Linked DNA regions of Lonchura striata. The protein of the gene in region 1 interacts with the protein of each later gene in a biochemical or structural test. Links are inferred from orthologs where the notes say so. Each region holds a gene or a part of one and is shown on either strand. Other genes may lie near its edges.

The links.
Region 2: the proteins of AKAP1 (region 1) and MYCBP form a complex in vitro, tested with the Homo sapiens proteins (2 studies listed by BioGRID). The link is inferred for Lonchura striata from reciprocal best matches to the Homo sapiens genes AKAP1 and MYCBP.

What each region holds. Positions count from the first base shown.
Region 1 is NC_134622.1:10,975,506-10,984,598, forward strand, and holds the start of AKAP1 (A-kinase anchor protein 1, mitochondrial), read right to left. Parts: upstream 3,748-9,093; 5' UTR 3,638-3,747; intron 3,258-3,637; exon of another isoform or gene 3,151-3,257; intron 693-3,150; exon of another isoform or gene 459-692; intron 1-458.
Region 2 is NC_134628.1:5,084,607-5,093,126, reverse strand, and holds the start of MYCBP (C-Myc-binding protein), read left to right. Parts: upstream 1-4,420; 5' UTR 4,421-4,482; coding exon 4,483-4,497; intron 4,498-4,696; coding exon 4,697-4,769; intron 4,770-7,018; coding exon 7,019-7,067; intron 7,068-7,772; coding exon 7,773-7,902; intron 7,903-8,520. Other genes in the region: GJA9 (gap junction alpha-9 protein), read left to right, coding at 1-897. UniProt on the Homo sapiens protein: May control the transcriptional activity of MYC. Stimulates the activation of E box-dependent transcription by MYC.

The DNA.
Region 1 (9,093 bases):
GTACAGTTTATAAGTGAAAATTTAAAAGCAGCCACCTGAGTCAGACGCCTGGCATCTCTATCAATTTCCAAAAAACAGAGACTAAACTAACGAAGGGCTTCCAATATACTCTGCACAGGAGACAAAAAACAAGCTTGAATTTTCAAGGAGACAGAATGGGGAGGTTTACAGCAAACACACTGATAGGGCTGCAGGAGCCAAGAGCAGCAAAGACCAAACAGGTCCCCAGGTATCTGGGGAGCAGCAGCAGCTCCGCTCACAGGATGTTTGCTGGGCACAGCCACGAGACCTTGACAAACAGCTTCCCAAAACAAGAGCTGGACTAGGCTTAGGAAAAGCAAAAAGCACTGGAGTCTGGTTGGAAGCCTCGTGGCCAAGGCTCAGTTTGAGGAGAAATGGCAGAAGCGCTCAGAGAGGGAGGACAGCAAACATCAGTGAGGAGGATGGCCTGTACTCACCTGTGCTGGGAGGGAACAGCAAAGGCTTCACTGGGAGCCACTCATGTGAATGAGCATGAGGACACTTGTGTGCGCCAACAAGGGCTGTGAGGAGTGGAACACACACTCCAACCTGACCAGAGAGAGTTCCCAATTCCCAGATTCATCCCCAGGCAAAGCTAAGGCCTCTGATACCAGAGGCACATGAAAATCATGAACTTTTGCCAGGAACCACTGCTATTTATACCCAGAGTCAAAAACCAGCCACAGCACATGGCAAGTTTCTCATCCTCAGTGCCAGGTGGCAGCAGAGGTCAAAAGCAACCCCGACCAGGACTGATCTGCAGCAGTGATTTGTTTGCTTAAGTATGATTTTAAATGGTCTTTTATGAAATACTCATCTCTGCTAGTAGCAATTACAGGGCCCAAAAATCCAGTTAGCTTCCAGATGACAAAATGCAGGACCAGAATCCACATAGTGGACAATAAAAAAAATGTACAGGGAACCACCTGAAGACAACATTTGAAAAAGCAGTTTGGGACATGCAAATATCTCCCCTTCTAGCAATCCCCATGAGAAACAAATGCAACAGCTTCAATTTCCAGGAAATATTAAACACCTGATGAATAAAATAGCTTTTTCTGAATATCTGAGCATGGCTGCCTGAAGTTGATCATCACTTCATGAAGTCTAACCAGCCATTTGCATTAAGAGCTCCACAGAAGCACTGCAGTTAGAAATCAGTATTCTAAAAAGGCTAATCATTAGATCTGAAACATGAAACAATTTTAAGTAATTAATGCTGCAATTAATGTTTTTTATTAGCTCTAGATGTTGCTAGGGGAAACTGGGATACCAGCCCCAATCCTATTACAGGCTCCCTGGACGCTAGAAATACCTTAAATCATTTTTTCACATGAGTTAAGTGCACATGAACAAGGAGAGGCACAGATAAGTGGGCTATGTTGCTTTAAAAGCATTATGCTCTTCAGATAACTGCTCCTGCAGAAGTGCACTTGCTCTCCATCCCCCTGCAGCCAGCCTGCAATGTTTTCAAAGTGAAGAGAGAGTCTCAGCCATCACAAATCAAACTGCTGCTGGCTCTGAGAGCTTTGGCTGCACTCCTGCAGCAAACTCCCTTCACTTTTAACTCCACAGGCAATCTGCACCTCTGGGAACAGACAAAATGTGGTGGATCTGAGCTGCAGGTCCTGTCACCTCATGTCCTGGGCAGTGAGGAAATTCCTCTTCCCTCATTTCAGGCGTTGTGAAGTGTCTAGGTTAAAGCCAAGGCTTCCTAGGCAGTCCATAATTTCCAGTATTAGTATCTCAAAGCATCTCCAGCATTCAAGACAGAATCTGGTTCCTAGGATGGGTTTCTAAACCAAGGCTGAATAAGGAGAGCACTCCCAAGTACAGAACAGCTACTAACACACAACAACTGAGATCCTGCAGCGCCATCCACACAGACCCTGCAGCCCCAACATATCTTTAGCTTCATGTCTGAGAGCAAACAGCCTGTTGGAGAAAACACTGCTACAACTGTGCTGAAAAACTCTCCTGTGTACACCCCCATAAGAGCTTTTAAAAGTCCTTCAAGAGCTCAATGAGACACTTAAGCAGGAGCTGAAGGACTGTCAGGTGAGCAAGACCAGGACTGGAATCAATGCATGAATGGATTCCAGTGGATTCCATCCTACTTCAAGCACTGCTCAAGCTCCACAGGCTTCTCCCTCCTCACACTTGAGAGCTGTCATTTCCTCCAGTGCATTTGCACTGTGCAGCACATACAGGCACACCAGGGAATGGAGAATGAGATACACACAACGAGGCTGTGCTGCCCTTTTCCAGAATCTCAGGTCCATGGGCATCACTAGACAGGTACAGCAGGTCAGCAGGTGCCTGCAGTCCTTCACCCCTTACACAAGCAGCCCATTAACGAATGAGGAGGTTAAATGACCAGAACTGGGTCACGGTGATCGCAGCAGAGGAGCCAGCTCAGTTCAGTGCTCCCGGAGAGCTCCGGTGCACTCCCGGAGAGCTCCGGTGCCCGGGAGCCGCGCTGCGCTCCCGGAGAGCTCCGGTGCACTCCCACACCGCACGTGTGGGAGCTCCGCTCGCTCCGGGGCTGTGCTCGGTAGATCATTCACAGCCACCAGCAAAGCTACCCCAGCGCTACACCTTCGGCAGCAACCAGCACTTCCCTGCACCTGAGACAAAGTCCACAGGGCCCGATAACGCTCGGCAGGTGCAGCACAACCCTGAAACACAGGAAGGCCCGATTTCTGCCATCCCACAGCCCCTGACTTTTCCCAACAGATGGGCTGTAGCCAAAGGCAGCTTTTGGTGCCATTTCCTGCTATTATGGATAACATCCATGAAGAGGATGCCTTTGCTGAGATGCCTGTCCATTCTGTGGTCATTGCCTCATGGAATTACTGGACTGCAGTAAAGAACTCGGCCAGGCACAGATCAAGTTGCCCATTTCTGAAGTAGGAGTAACTTAGATCTGCCTTGCTTCAATCAGGAGGAAAAGAAAGAGAGAGCAAACAACAATATTCTCCCAGGAAAGCAAGACCACGACATCACTTCCTCAGCAGCAATATAATTTAATTCCATTGCTCCCACCTGTACTCCCTGCTGGCTTAGGAACAAAAGGAGTCACTACAGCACATCAGAAGTTTTGCAAATAACACTTTTTACGGCCATTACCATAACACAGGCAGGCTCGCCAGACCAGACAGCCCAAGGTGCTTTAATCTTCACCGCGGCTCCGCGCCGCCCGGGCCATCTCCGGCCTCGCTCCAGCAGCCGCGGCCGCAGCGCTCTCGTCAGAACGGGCGAACCGACCCGGCCCGGCCGCTGCCGCCCGGGACACCGCGGGCGGAGCACCGGGCGGAGCACCGGGCGGAGCACCGAGCGGAGCACCGAGCCGAGCACCGAGCCGCGAGCAGGGCCCGGGGCAGCCCCGCGCCCCGACACAGGCGGCCGGCCCCAGCCCACGGCCCCGGGTCCCGGCGGGGAAGAGCGCTGACCTTGGGCGGCGCGGGAGCGCTCCCGCCACGGCCCGCGCGGCGGGACCGGGACCGGGCCCGGCACGGCCGGCAGCGCCCTCCGCGCGCCCCGCGGCGCCGCCGCTGACAGCCGCGGGCCGCGCCGCTCCGCCAGCGCGCGGGCGGCGGCCCAGGGCGGTACTTACGGGAGTCCCGGCGCGGCGGCGCAGCCCGGAGCGGTGCCGGGCCCGGTCCGGAGCGGTGCCGGTGCCGCCACACGTGCCCCGGCCGGGCCGCCCGGCTCGGACATGCAGCGACAGCGCCCCGCCCCGCCCGGCCCCTCTCGCGAGAGCGCGCGGCCCCGCGAGACTGCGCGCGCGCGGCCCCGCCCCGCGCCTGAGGGAGCCGCGGCGGCGCCGGGAGCGCGCCGGGCGGGATCCATCGTTCTGGGGCCGGGATCGATCGTTCTAGGGCCGGGAGCGCTCCGGGGCCGGGATCCATCGTTCTGGGGCCGGGATCCATCATTCTGGGGCCGGGATCCATCGTTCTGGGGCCGGGATCCATCGTTCTAGGGCCGGGATCCATCGTTCTGGGGCCGCGATCCATCGTTCTGGGGCCGGGAGCGCTCCGGGGCCGGGATCCATCGTTCTGGGGCCGGGAGCGCTCCGGGCCGGGATTCATCGTTCTGGGGCCGGGATCCATCATTCTGGGGCCGGGATCCATCGTTCTGGGGCCGGGAGCGCGCCGGGCCGGGATCCATCGTTCTGGGGCCGGGATGGATCGTTCTAGGGCCGGGATGGATCGTTCTAGGGCCGGGATCCATCGTTCTGGGGCCGGGAGCGCTCCGGGGCCGGTGCGGGGCGGGCCCGGCCCGGCCCGGATCGTTCCCGCGGCCGAGGCCCGGGCAGGGTCCGCCCTTGCCGCCTTCCTGCCCTGCTCCCCCTCCGGACGGGTGCGCACAGGCCCTGTGTGCTGCCGTGTCCTCATCCCAGGCTCGCCCGGCCGCTGCCCCGATGGTTGTTCCCGCGGTCCCCGGAGCCCCGCTCCCTGCCTGGCCCCGGGGGTCCTGCCGGGTGCCCCGGTCGGGCCTTGGCACCTCCACAAGTGGCTGGGAATGGCTCCTGTCGCTGCTGCTGGAGGCCGCTGCAGCGCCTCCGCCTGCCCGGCTCTGTTCGGCCGGGGCCTTCGGGCTCGGCCCCGATCCACCGCGCCTCATTGCCTGCTAACAGCCAGACACGCAAGCAGGTGAATCTGAGCTTTAGACAGTTTTATGCAAAGGTTTGGCTGGTGGTGACACATTAGTGAGCAAATATTAGCTAGAAGCTACAGCAATGTATTGGAACTGCAATGAGAAATGCAAATCTGTGTTCAGGCGGAGTTATTGCTCAGCTGCAGCAGCACCAAGTAGGAATTAATAGAGACTTTTCATGTTATTGTGTAAGACTTGTGACATTTCCCCCCAGGGCTTTTGGCATCTTTGCACAGGATCCAGTGTGTAACTGATTTCTCTGTCCCAAGGAAGCTCTGAGGTTTTTGCGGGATGCACAGTAGAGAAGCATGGCTGGTCAGTGCTAGCACTGCCACGCTCAGTGGGCTGTGTGACAGCTGATTCCAGGACAGCTCTGGGCAAGGCACTTGGAGGAGACTGGGAAATCATCGATGCTCTTCTAAGGTGGTTGGGAGTTTCCAGAGGAGGGTGGTGAGAGAGGGAAAGGTCTCAGGGCAGGAGCAACGCAAGTAGCAGCCAGGTCTTGGGAAGAGTCTGTGCTGACCTTTGTGGGGCATCACTGGAAATTCTGTGTTCCTGTGACACCCGGAGGGGTTTGGCATCCACCCTGGGTCTACGTGGGAAGAGTTGTTTGGGAATGATGTGTCCTCTCCAAATAATCCAGCAGGGTTGTGTGGGAGCACACGGAGTGGCAGCAGCCAGGTGTGGGTGCTGCTCCTTCCCGTGCAGCCAGGTGGGTCAGAAGGCACAGGATACTGTGCTGCTTCAGGGCTTCTGAGGAGACTGCTGCGTTTGTCACTGGTCCTGTTTGTGTGGGGACAAGTGGCTCAGGATTTCCCAGTGGAACAACTTCAGCTGCTTTTTCATCTTTTAGAACTTCAGCAGCAAAGTCAGAGGGAAGCAGTAGGCCAGGGAGCGGTGGTTCATGCTTTGGGGCAGGAACAGGGAGCAGCCAAGCTAGAGTGAGTTTTAAACCAGAGCAGTTCCTGGGGGTAGCCAGCGGTAGCTGCAGCAGTGCAGGAAAGCACTTCAAGCCTCCCAGCTTGAAAGCCTGAGCTTCCCGTTCATCTGGCAGCCACCCCCAGTCAGCCTCCTCCCTTTGCAGCACCCTGGGCTCATCCTGCAGAGCCGCTGCTGTTCCCAGAGCTCACCTGGCTTCGAGCAGCACGCTGTGCACCAGCCAAGGCTGCACAAACCTGCAGGCACGGGGGAGTTCAATGCTGTGCTGACCAGGCTGGCTGAAGTCAAACCTGCCCGTTGCTGCAGACACGTGCCTGCAGCAGGCGGTTGGTTTGTGAGAGTGTAAATGAGTAACTTGGAGAAACCACAGTCATGAGCAGGATTGTCCTTCCTAAATCACTGATTTCTGTAAGTATTTTTCTGTGAAAAGTTCCTGATTTGCCTCTACCTTTTTGTTCAGAGCAGTCAGAAATTAATACTAAATACCCACTTAAAAACTACAAATTGTGTCACACATGAAGTGGAAAAATCCATTGGTGTTGAGACTTTGCCCTTTTGATGTTCCTAATCTGAGGATCTCAGAAGTTTGTCCGTTAAGAATTCCCAACCGACGGCCACCCTTGGCTGTTAGCATTGGGCAATTCCAGCGTTTACAGTGCCTGGTGGTCAAATGTTCAGGGATTTGTCAAGGTCACAATCAGAGCTGGTATCAGACACACATGGGGACCACATGCTGAAACCTCTTGTGGTTTCGTTCCCCGTGTCCTCACAGCCTGAGGAGGAGGAGGAGGAGGAGGGCTGCATGAGCAGCTCTTCAGCATTTGCACTGTCTTGCTGCACAGCCAGCTCTCCTGGGCAGACCTTGCTCTCCCAGTAACTAACTGGGGGTGGAAGCAGCAGAACAGATATTTCCAGTTTGTCTGAAGGACAATATGCTGTGAGGAAAAAAAAAAAAAACCACTATTTAATACTTCAAGGGGGATATTCTTGAGCATATAGTTACTCCCGGCTATTTATAGCAATGTTATTTAAACATCCCAAAAGATCCCATTGTCAGAGGTTTTTTTCATGATTGCTTTGAAGAATAAACCCATACTTATTTGAACAAGTCACATCATGAGAGTTGTTTTTGTACCCTTTCCACCCACACAATCCTGGGAGTGATTTTCATTTGAGAGCTTGTTAACCAGAGGAGCAGCCAGCTGAAGAGCCCCTGTTGCAAGGCACAAAGGATTCACACCTGAACATCCTAACTCGGGTAGTGGGACAGGCACTCCTGCTCTGAGGGGACCCAGCGCTGCACAGCTGCAGGAGGTTGGCTTTGGCAGTTCTGTGACACAGGTGGCTCATCCTCACCTTAGAGCTGAGTTCAGGTGTTCTGTCTCCTGTCCTTAGAGGGCTTAAGGAGAGGACAGACACGTAAAACACATTTGGTAATGGCATAAGTGACCAAGTGCTATGAGAGGACCTAAGGGAACGGGTATCTCACCTGGGACAGTGCTTGGGGCACCTTCACCAACAGCTCTGAGCCATCCTGGGCTCAGCCATGAAGTATTTTCTTTTCCACCTTGTGCAGTTTTTAGCTCCAGAACAGAATTAATTCCCCAAGTTAAAGTAAGTTCTGCATTTTTACTTCATTTTCCTTTGTAAAATATTTCAGCATCAGCTGGGCAGGAATTTTGAAGCTATTTCCTTAGACAGAATTGCCTGCTTCAACAGTGCAATTTTCCCCCTAAACACAGTTTTTCCAACTGCATCCGTAACTAAAATAAAACTCTCATTCCTTCCCTGTGGCTGCAGTGTATTTGTGATCTCAAGTAGCAGGGAGGCTCCACTGTTCAAAAGAGGAACTTCAGGAATGTTTTTGACAGCAGTGATTGAGCAGGTGCTGCTCAGGAGCTGGCTCCTGCCTGGATCCCACTCCAGCTCCAACTCAGAACTAAGGAACATTTCCTCTGAAGTAAAGAAAATGAAGTTTAACAGTTCACACACTGCTGCTCTTCCACTCGTGCAGCCCCAGCTGGCACCAAGAGCACAACAGGAATCACCTGTCCAGGTGTCTGCAGGTCTGTTCAGCATGCAGGAACAATAAGATGTCTCAGAAGTCGTCAATGCAGTCACACTTTAATGTGTCTTTACATCCTTTTACGATTCACAGAGTCAGAATATAAGTACTTATACACTTTTAATGGGGAAGTAATGTATCCCCCTAAAAGAAAAATAGATGTGATTAATCATTTGTCAGAGAAGTTGCCTGACAGCTGAAACCTCAAGCTTCTAGGCAAAAAAAGCTCAAATAGACAATTTATACTGAATTGTTCTTTAAAGACCAAGCAGCTGTTTTATTACAATATTAAATTTACATTTTAAAAAGAAATATTCTGATTTATTATTCAGTTATGATAATCCTATTGAAGTGACATGAAATTCATGACAATGGGCTTTCTTCTTCCTCACTCACCGCAGGCAATCTCAGCTCTATGCAGGATCCCACACCCAGAGCAGCACCAGTCTGGGAAGATAAACCCCAGACACTGGATTTTAACTGGAATCTTAATTTTCCCCAGAAAAAGTGGGGTGTTGGGCTCTGTAACTCGGCTGGATCCCTTGGTTCAGCCCCAAAGAACCCACCCAAACTTGTTCCAACAGAGAGAAGACATCAGCATCCACCACCTTCACCCTGCAGCCCCCGGAATGACCTTCGAACAACAGGGAGCAGGTTCAATTTACATTTTACTTCAAAAAAAAGGGGGAAGTACATACATGAGGGGAGAATGGGGTGAACAATAATCTGAAACCAGGTTTCCACCACTCTGACCCACAGCTCCCACCGGCCTGTGGCTGGGGCCAGCGGGCTCTCCAGGCTCACACCCTGTGTTTGACAGCACGACCAGGACCGGGATCACAGAAACCCTGGGAAAGCCAAGGCCGGATGGAAGCAGTGAGATCACACACAGGGTGAGTGTGTCGGACACAGCTTCTGCTTTAAATGATGGAATGCACCAGCAGGAGGGAGGAGTAGTTAACAGTTACTAACACTAGAATAATCAAATTTGTATGTTATACATATACAGCAACTAACTGCTTTACAAAAAAAGCAAAATAATACAATATATTGTCACATGTATTTACAGTGTAGTAAATATACTTTTCTGTCAAATTTTACACAAAAACTATTTACAGGTGAATATACTGCATAAAAAAAAAAAGGTGGGACCAACACTCTTGAGTGACTGTCTGTGGTTTGTTGCATAACAATAGGACGTGCTTTGTGACTTCGGAAAAAATTAACCTTAGAATGAAACAGAAAAAGCCCTAAAACCTACAACCCAGGCCAGAGCCAGCCCCGCACGTACCGGGGGCTCAGCCCACGAGACTCAGTGAAATGTTCCCTGTCCTGGGAAACCTCATGCACGGTAAAGCAGAAACATTGGCATCATTACAGGTAGGTTATGCACTATTCAAATACTACTG
Region 2 (8,520 bases), on another chromosome or scaffold:
TTATTTATGCAATCAATAGCAACTGTATCATTGCTTTTAAATATTCTAGAAATTATCCACTTAGGATTCCGGAAAATTAAAATGGGACTCTGTGAGCAGAATAAAAACAAAGATGACTCTGACCATTTCTACATAAACAAATCTAAGAAATATTCTGCGATACCACACTCTTCCTTGGGAATATCCACCACCCCTCAGAAAACACTTCCTTGTGCTCTTAGCAGTTATACCTTTTTGATGGAAAAGCAAACTGACACTATGCTCTACCCAGTTTTAAATTCTCCTTCTATGTTTCAGTCTGTGCAAAATAACCGTGCAGAAAGCAGCAGCAATTACACCCATTGCAATCAGGAAAATAAATCTCCAAAGAAGAGGCCAGCTACAAATGCTTTAGACAATCAGACTCAAAATGCTAGCACAAATAATAACGAAGGCTTTCTTGGTGAGCTTTGGACTGAGACACATGATGCACAAGAAGAGGCTGAAAAGAAACATTTTCTTGTTGATACTCAGAATGCAGATACTGCCTCAAACATGTACTTGAGAAGCTTTGCTGAGTTGCCAGGTCAAACTTCATTGCAACCTGGTACAACTTTTCCTAATGCCGGTTTTAGACGACAGACAATGGTTGAGGACACAGGAGCACTAACAAATTCTCTTCCAAAGAACAGGGACAGAAGACAGAGCAGTTTCAGTGTAAACAAAGCCCAAATTCCTTACAATGCTGATGGAAAAAATTCCAGCCGACCAGACACTTCTGATTCCATGGGGGTGGTGAGCTCAGAATCTACACAAAGCAGAAATTGGAATAGTCCTAAGCTTTTGTCTCTGTCTAGGCAACAGTCACTGTCAAGTAATGCCAGCAGTAGGCGTGCCCCCACTGATCTTCAAATATAGTGTGAGTTAACCCATTAGCTGCACTACCCAGTGCTGGGATAATTCCTGAACAGAGACATAACCCAGACCTACGTGTAAGTGCAGCTAAATAATTCAACTTTAGCCAGCTGTTTACATAGCTGTGTAACCCTTTGAATAGTAGCTAAGTAATTTTAAACAGTTTCTTTACTTCTTTTGTAATGAAAATGTGGCATAGATCTCAGTGTATAAACTTCTACATTCCAGCTAAAAAGGAAAACATACATCCTCTCAGCCCACATATTAGGAAAAAGGCATAAAATCACAGCTGGTACTATTAAAACCGAATAAAAGTAGGAGACAAAATTTACAGTCTAACAATATTTTTACAAAGACCAGTAAATCAAATTAGGTTAAAGATACTCTCAAAAGAATTTATTGGTAAACATGTCTCTGCCTAATCAGTGTGAGAATTCAAACAGACACTTGGTAGCTGACCAAAAGCAGAATGTCAAACTTATTCCACAGTTCAAGCTGTTGTAAATACAAAGAAAAAAAGCATTTGCAAAACAGATCACTAATTTGTTGGCTCCATGGTACTTTTTTTCAGTGTATCACCACTGACTACCTCAGCAGAAAAATCAAAGTGAATTTCTAATAGTATACTGTCAGAATTCAATACACCGCTATTTTTTTTAAACATCAGGAATTCCAGACATGTTGTGAGCTTTACTTTTGACATTTTTCATAACACTAATAAGATAGCAAAATCAGAAAACAATTTACTGAAATTTACTAATCAGACATTTTGATTTTCACAAACCAGAAGGTTTACTATGGAAAACAGAAAAAAAACTCCAAAAACAGAGAACCAAAAAAAGCAAATATGGTAGTACCTTCCTGATTTGAGTTACAATGTCAAAAGACATATAAAAGGTTTATCAAAGAGTAAAACTAGTCATTTTCTGTTTGTGTCTCCCCTGAATACTGATAAGCTTTTAAATCAAACAAAGGTCCTACCTGTTTAGGAGGAGCATTTGTGTTTATGCTTTTAATGGGGATAACAAAACATTAGGACATTTATCCACTTGCTGTTCAGGTCCATATGGTGTAAAGGAAGTTCCATGAAACATCTTGAAATTATAAAGGGGGCAAAGATGAACAAAATACTATGGTACATTTGTAATCAAGCTTTCCATGTATGGAATACATTTATTTGAGGTGCACAGCACTGAAACACTGTAAATACTTGGTGAGGTGGTCACAGCTGAAATGCATTAGTATTTTTTGTGTGTATTTCTTACTAGCAGATATGACATACTGTTCATCTGTTGAAAAAAATAATCTGTGAGATATAACATAATGATGTTACAGCACAATGAAATTCTTAAAGTGCACTGTCATTATACTTACCAACCAGCCATGTTTCAGATTGCCTGAAAACTGTACAATACTAGCAAAAAAGAAGCCAGAAAACCTAAACTGCTATTTTGCTTGTAGCAGCATTAAAGAAATACACATGAGAACTATTAAAACTATTTGCTGTAGGTTTCTTTCCTTTTCACTTCTATGTGTATACATAAATACATAATTGTGTTTACACTGTAAAATTTAAGGTCGTATACTATACTGGAACATACATAACTGTAATAGTGTGACTTAGGCAAGTTCATGCTGCTGCTGTGGCTTTGATTCTTGCATTTCTTGATGTGTAAAATCCTGTGGGCAATAACTGCTAATGCTTGTTTTGCATTTAATCTCTCCATAATAAAAAGCCTCATATTTAATGCACTCTGTTCCTGCTGTCTAAATAACAGAAAGTTAGCATTTAGATGTTCATGTATGGGACATGACATCTGTATTTTTGTTGTTCAAGACAAGTTAGAAATGAATTTTTCTGCTGCAGTGAGAGGAATTTTATTAACTTTTTTATGCCTGGATATGAGTCAGACATTTTGTTTAATCACAGCACCTTCCCAAATGAAGAGTAACCACTGAAAACTGCAAACATTGTGGAAGAGCATGGAAAAAAAGCATGAAAACTCCCTAACGTCATATGTGCAAGATCATTTGGTTGGTCTTTTTCTTTTAATTTTTAAAAATTTCTACAATAAATAGATTTTATCTGTCAGCGTTTCAGAAAAATAATCAGGTGTAACAGTTTCTTTTCTTTTTTTTTTTTTTTTTAAACAGGCTAGGGCAAAAGACTTTCGTCGCGAAGATTTCACCACTCTTCAATGCCTCACAGACCCTCTGCAGCCGCTGCTGGCTGCAACTTTCTCCTGTGATTTCAGTCAGCTGCAGCTACTGAAATGTATTAATCAGACACTTTGAATTTCACAAACCCGAAGGCTTACTATGAAAACCAGAAAGAACTCCAGCGACCCGCAGGACAGCTCCGCCCGGACCCCGCGGCGCGGCCCCGCTCGCCTTCTCCGCGGGGAGCTGAGCTGAGCCCCGGAACCGTCCCCGGCCAGGGGAGCAGGGCAGAGCGGGAGAGGAGGCAGGGCCGCGCAAGAAAGGGGGCACGACGCCGGGCTCGGCTTCCCCTCGGGCGGCAGCGGACGGCGAGGCCGCCCCGAGGCGGGCGAGGCCGCGCCGAGGGGAGCGGACCGCGCTGAGGGGAGCGCGGCCCCGCTGGGGGGAGCGGACCGCGCTGGGGGGAGCGGACCGCGCTGAGGGGAGCGCGGCCCCGCTGGGGGGAGCGGACCGCGCTGAGGGGAGCGGACCGCGCTGAGGGGAGCGCGGCCCCGCTGAGGGGAGCGCGGCCCCGCCGAGGAGAGCGCGGCCCCGCCGAGGAGAGCGCGGCCCCGCCGAGGAGAGCGCGGCCCCGCTGAGGGGAGCGCGGGCGGCGCTGAGGGGAGCGGACCGCGCTGAGGGGAGCGGACCGCGCTGAGGGGAGCGCGGGGGGCGCCGAGGGGAGCGGACCGCGCTGAGGGGAGCGCGGGGGGCGCCGAGGGGAGCGGACCGCGCTGAGGGGAGCGCGGGGGGCGCCGAGGGGAGCGCGGCCGCCCCGAGGAGAGCGCGGCCCCGCCGAGGGGAGCGGACCGCGCTGAGGGGAGCGCGGGCGGCGCCGAGGGGAGCGGAACGCGCTGAGGGGAGCGCGGCCCCGCTGAGGGGAGCGCGGCCCCGCTGAGGGGAGCGGACCGCGCTGAGGGGAGCGCGGCCCCGCTGAGGGGAGCGGACCGAGCTGAGGGGAGCGGACCGCGCTGAGGGGAGCGCGGCCCCGCTGAGGGGAGCGCGGGCGGTGCCGAGGGGAGCGCGGGCGGCGCTGAGGGGAGCGCGGCCCCGCCGAGGGGAGCGGACCGCGCTGAGGGGAGCGCGGCCCTGCCGAGGGGAGCGGACCGCGCCGAGGGGAGCGCGGCCGCCCCGAGGGGAGTGCGGCCCCGCCGAGGAGAGCGCGGCCGCTGAGGGGAGCGCGGGCGGCGCGCGGGCCCGGCGCGGCCGCTGAGGGGAGCGCGGGCGGCGCTGAGGGGAGCGCGGCCCCGCTGAGGGGAGCGCGGGCGGCGCGCGGGCCCGGCGCTGCCGCTGCCGCGGCGCCGTCGCCGTGGCAACCGCGGGGAAGCGCTCGCGCCGTTAAAGCGCAGGGCGCAGGCGCGCGGCCGGGGCAGGCGCCGTGCGGCTCAGATGGCGCACCACAAGGTAGGGGGGAGCGCGCCGGCGTGGGCGCGGTGCCGCTCTCCGTGCCGGCTGCGCGGAGCGGCGGGCCGCCGGCCGACCCCGGCTCGGCCCTTCGTGCCGCCTCTGCGGCGGAGAGCGGGACCGGCCTGTGCTAAAGGGCCGCCTCCGCAGTCGAGGCGGGGCGCGCCGCCGATCTGACCGTGTGGGCGTCCTCCCTCAGGCCGCGGACTCCAAGCGGGAGCAGTTCCGCCAGTACTTGGAGAAGTCGGGAGTGCTGGACATGCTCACCAAGGGTAAGTGTCCGGCTCGCGGCCGGCGGGCGCGCTCCGGGGCGTTGCGGGCGGGTGCCGTTCCTCGTTCCTCTCAGGCTGTCCCGCTCCCGCCCGGCAGCGTCTCGGCCGTCCCTCGGGCTGCCCCGCCGCTCTCCATGGGCTTCGCGCCTCGCCTCGCCGATCGCTTTTTCTCCTCAGTCCGGCGAGGCGGCCGGCAGAAGAACTCGCCTGGAGAACTTGGTGCGGCGTGGCCAGGAAATGGAGTCCGAGGTGCGCGGCGAGGCGGCGCACGCCGGGAGAGGGCAGCGGGCGCTGGGACCGGCCCTGCCCCGCACGCTCCCCGCGCGGGCGGCCGCTGCTGGAGGTGCGTGTAGAACGGCAAGGCTGCTCCTTTCCCCCAGTGTGTGCTGGAGACCTCTTCCTTCGGCCGAAGTGCTACTTTCAATGCGTGCCTTTGGGTCGTTTATTTTCTTTCAATGGGCGCTTTTTGTGAGGTTTTTCTACAGAGGAAGTCAGTGCTTGAGATGAAATAACAGCAAATGTTATTTTAAAAGAACTTTGTTTCATACCTTTTCTTGGATGGCACTGTTATGTGTAGTAAATATAATTCGCGCCATTCCTTGTATGAAATATGTAATATTAGATACTTGTTAGATTATGCCCGTTGTATTAGTTCCCCCCCTTTGCAGGTGAGACTGGGTGTATATTGGAAACTGATTTACAAGTGGCTCGGCCAGGAGATGGGCCATGGCTGGGCTCCAGGTGTTGATCATCGGTGCTGATCATCGCATGAATGGCCCGAGGTGGATATCATAGAAATCCTCAGACAGATCCATGTGAATGCAGCCTTCCCGTAAAATCTCATCAGGGATTCACCTACTTCGGACATTGAATTATTTCTCCTCATTACCAAAAAAAGAAAATCTTATTAACCTATGGACTCTGAATAGAAGAAAATCTTGGCCTCAGGCAGAATTTTCCCTATAAAAAACCGCTTGTGCCAGGATGGAGGTGTGTGGGCATAGGGGAGAACCTCTGCTGAGGCTGACTCCTTGTGGCACACCCAGGGCCAACCCCAGGCTCGGCTCTGTTCTTTCCTTGTGGCTGGCTAGATAGAATTTGACCGCTAATAAAAATTATTTTTATTTTTTAATCTGGCTGAATAAATTCTCATTTATAACAGCACTTAGTGCTTTTTTTTCTAGAATGAATGACACTAAGTTCTGGATTAATGACTCTCCATATCAAACTGGAGAAAATGATGATGCTCAACTTGACATGTGTGACTTAGTATTTTTGAAATCCTCCTAAAATCTTTTTGAGAACCTTCTAGTAGTATGTGGCAAAAAATGTGTTAATAATGAAAAAATTAATATTCTGCTAATATTGAAAATATGCTGTTTAAAGAGGGAGCAGCAGATCTAGGATGTCAAGTAAATAGCTGCTGCACTAAGACTCTTGGCCTGGTGTGTGAGTACCATTTGATTTTTCAATCGCAGTGCCATCCTATGGGATGGCAAAACAAATCTTCCAAGCAGTGAGGCAGACTAATTTTGCTTTTAACTTAGGAAGTACTTAGCTTAAAACCAGTTTGGCTGTGTAGCTCAAGACTTCTGAAACTGGCACATGGCCCCTGTGGGGAAGCAGGGAGTGGTTGTGATTGGGAACTTCCTGGGTGTTCATGTGACAGTCTCCCGTTATGTTGCTATGTAAATGGCTATTTTTATTTAAATTGTCGGGGTATTGCTGCTTTTCTCTGGCGGTTTTGGCCATTAGAGTCCCTACCCGTAAAAATTATCAGTGTCACCTAGCCGTGTAGTAGCTGTTTAGTTTTGTAACTGTAGATTATCAATGGAGGTTTGCTCTTCTGCTGGAAGTTACAAATCTGCTGATGTCTTGTGGTTTAAAGATGTAGCTTAAGTACAAGTTTTATGAACAATATAGTTAGAATTTCAGTCTTACTGGTAAAAGCTAGTACTAGGGTGCATGTGGCATATGTAAATTTTTTTTCAGGATGTTTTATGTTCTGTGCTAGAACAGCCAGAACACAATGTGGGGTTAGGGATCAAGAAAATTCTCTTTAGCTGTTACTAGGTGGAATGCTCTGTCCCCTCTGATACAGCAGACCTGTTGCCTATGTCAAAGTGTGCAAGTGAAAATCTTGTTAAATGGACAAATACAACATGTATGCTTTCTGACTGCTGATATGTGTTTAAAAAACTTAGAGTTGCATGAATTTCTTGCAATTGTTGAATATTTTCTATTTGCAGTGTTGGTAGCCTTATATGAAGAGCCAGAGAAACCAGATAGTGCACTGGAGTATCCTTTTCCTTTGCTGTGACTTATTTATTGAGACTTTATGCACAATATTGCTTCTGACTCATGGGTGGACTGGATGGATTCATTTCGATGCCTTGCATTGAGAACGTGACTTTTTTCAATGCATTTTACCTAATGATTGCATTTTCACAAGCTAAGAGAGTCTGACAGGATGCCAGAGGGCTGGGATTTCAGTATGCCAGCAATTATGAAGCTAAGTTATTGGCCATTTCAGTGTTGTAGACCTGCAGCTTTAGATCTGAGTACCTGCAGTGGCAATGGGTTCTGAAGTTTGCTTCTTCACACTTCCTTTTTTTGTTGTTTTTTATTTGTTTTTAAATACATGAAGAAGGGGGGGAACTAGCATATTTGTTGCTGTTTTTAAGCAGCCTCCATTTTTGGGTATTGCTGCTTTTTTTCTTTACTTTTTTTAATTCTTTAAAACATCTGCCGTTACGAAGAGAAAAAAAAAGGAGGTAGTAACACATAAGGATTTGTACTGATATCTTGTGTTTGTGTGTTTGTTTTTAAGGAATATAGCTATGAATTTGAAAAGCTCTCTTATTTTGGTAACTTTTTTCCTGTAGTGATCACAATGGCTTACTGCAATTTTGACCATGTGTACTGCAGTGTTAACATCAACACAGGTGTTAAAACTAAAATGTAGTTATACAACTGAGGAAATACTTAACATCTAAATATCAGTTTTCTGAAGCATCATCTGGGAGCTTCAGCTCCTGAGAATCCGGAAATAGAGGCACTTCGCTTGGAAGTGGCAGAGATGAAAGAAAAATATGAAGCTGTGCTGGAAGAAAATAAAAAACTGAAAACCAAGGTAAAAGTCTACTTGGTGTTCCTCCATAGTTCCATATTATACAACAAGAAAAATATTTTCATTACTTGGAATAGAGCTAACCTCCTTTCATTAGAGTAACTGATAAATGATGTTGCATTGTTTAGCCTCATGTCTGAGAAATCATTGTAGTAAAGATTATTATATTTTATGGAACATATATATTTTATGGAATGTAACATAAAATATTGGTAAACTAGGGATTTTATTTATTTAGGGAATGTGTATTATCATGTCCAATATGTTGTATTGAGTCTTGTGTGGATGTGTTGAAGTTGTCTGATATTATGTAGATCATGCTTTCAAGACAGTTTGGAAAAACAAGTAAGTTATTGTATCCATTATAAAGCCTTTCAAAAGGCAGATTGAAGGAGGAATATTATGTTTACTTTCTGTCACATGGCACAGACTACACATGGCAGGATCTTGCACAGGCACTTAGATTCGTGTGGAGCAATAATCTGTGCTTTTTACTTAAAGTGACCTTGGTATTTATCTGAAACAACAATGAATCTGAAGTGCTAGCTAGGGCAGGACCGTTCTTTAATGGGCCTGCAGGCCGAGAGAGCTCTGAGGTGTGAACAGCGTGAGATATTAAAT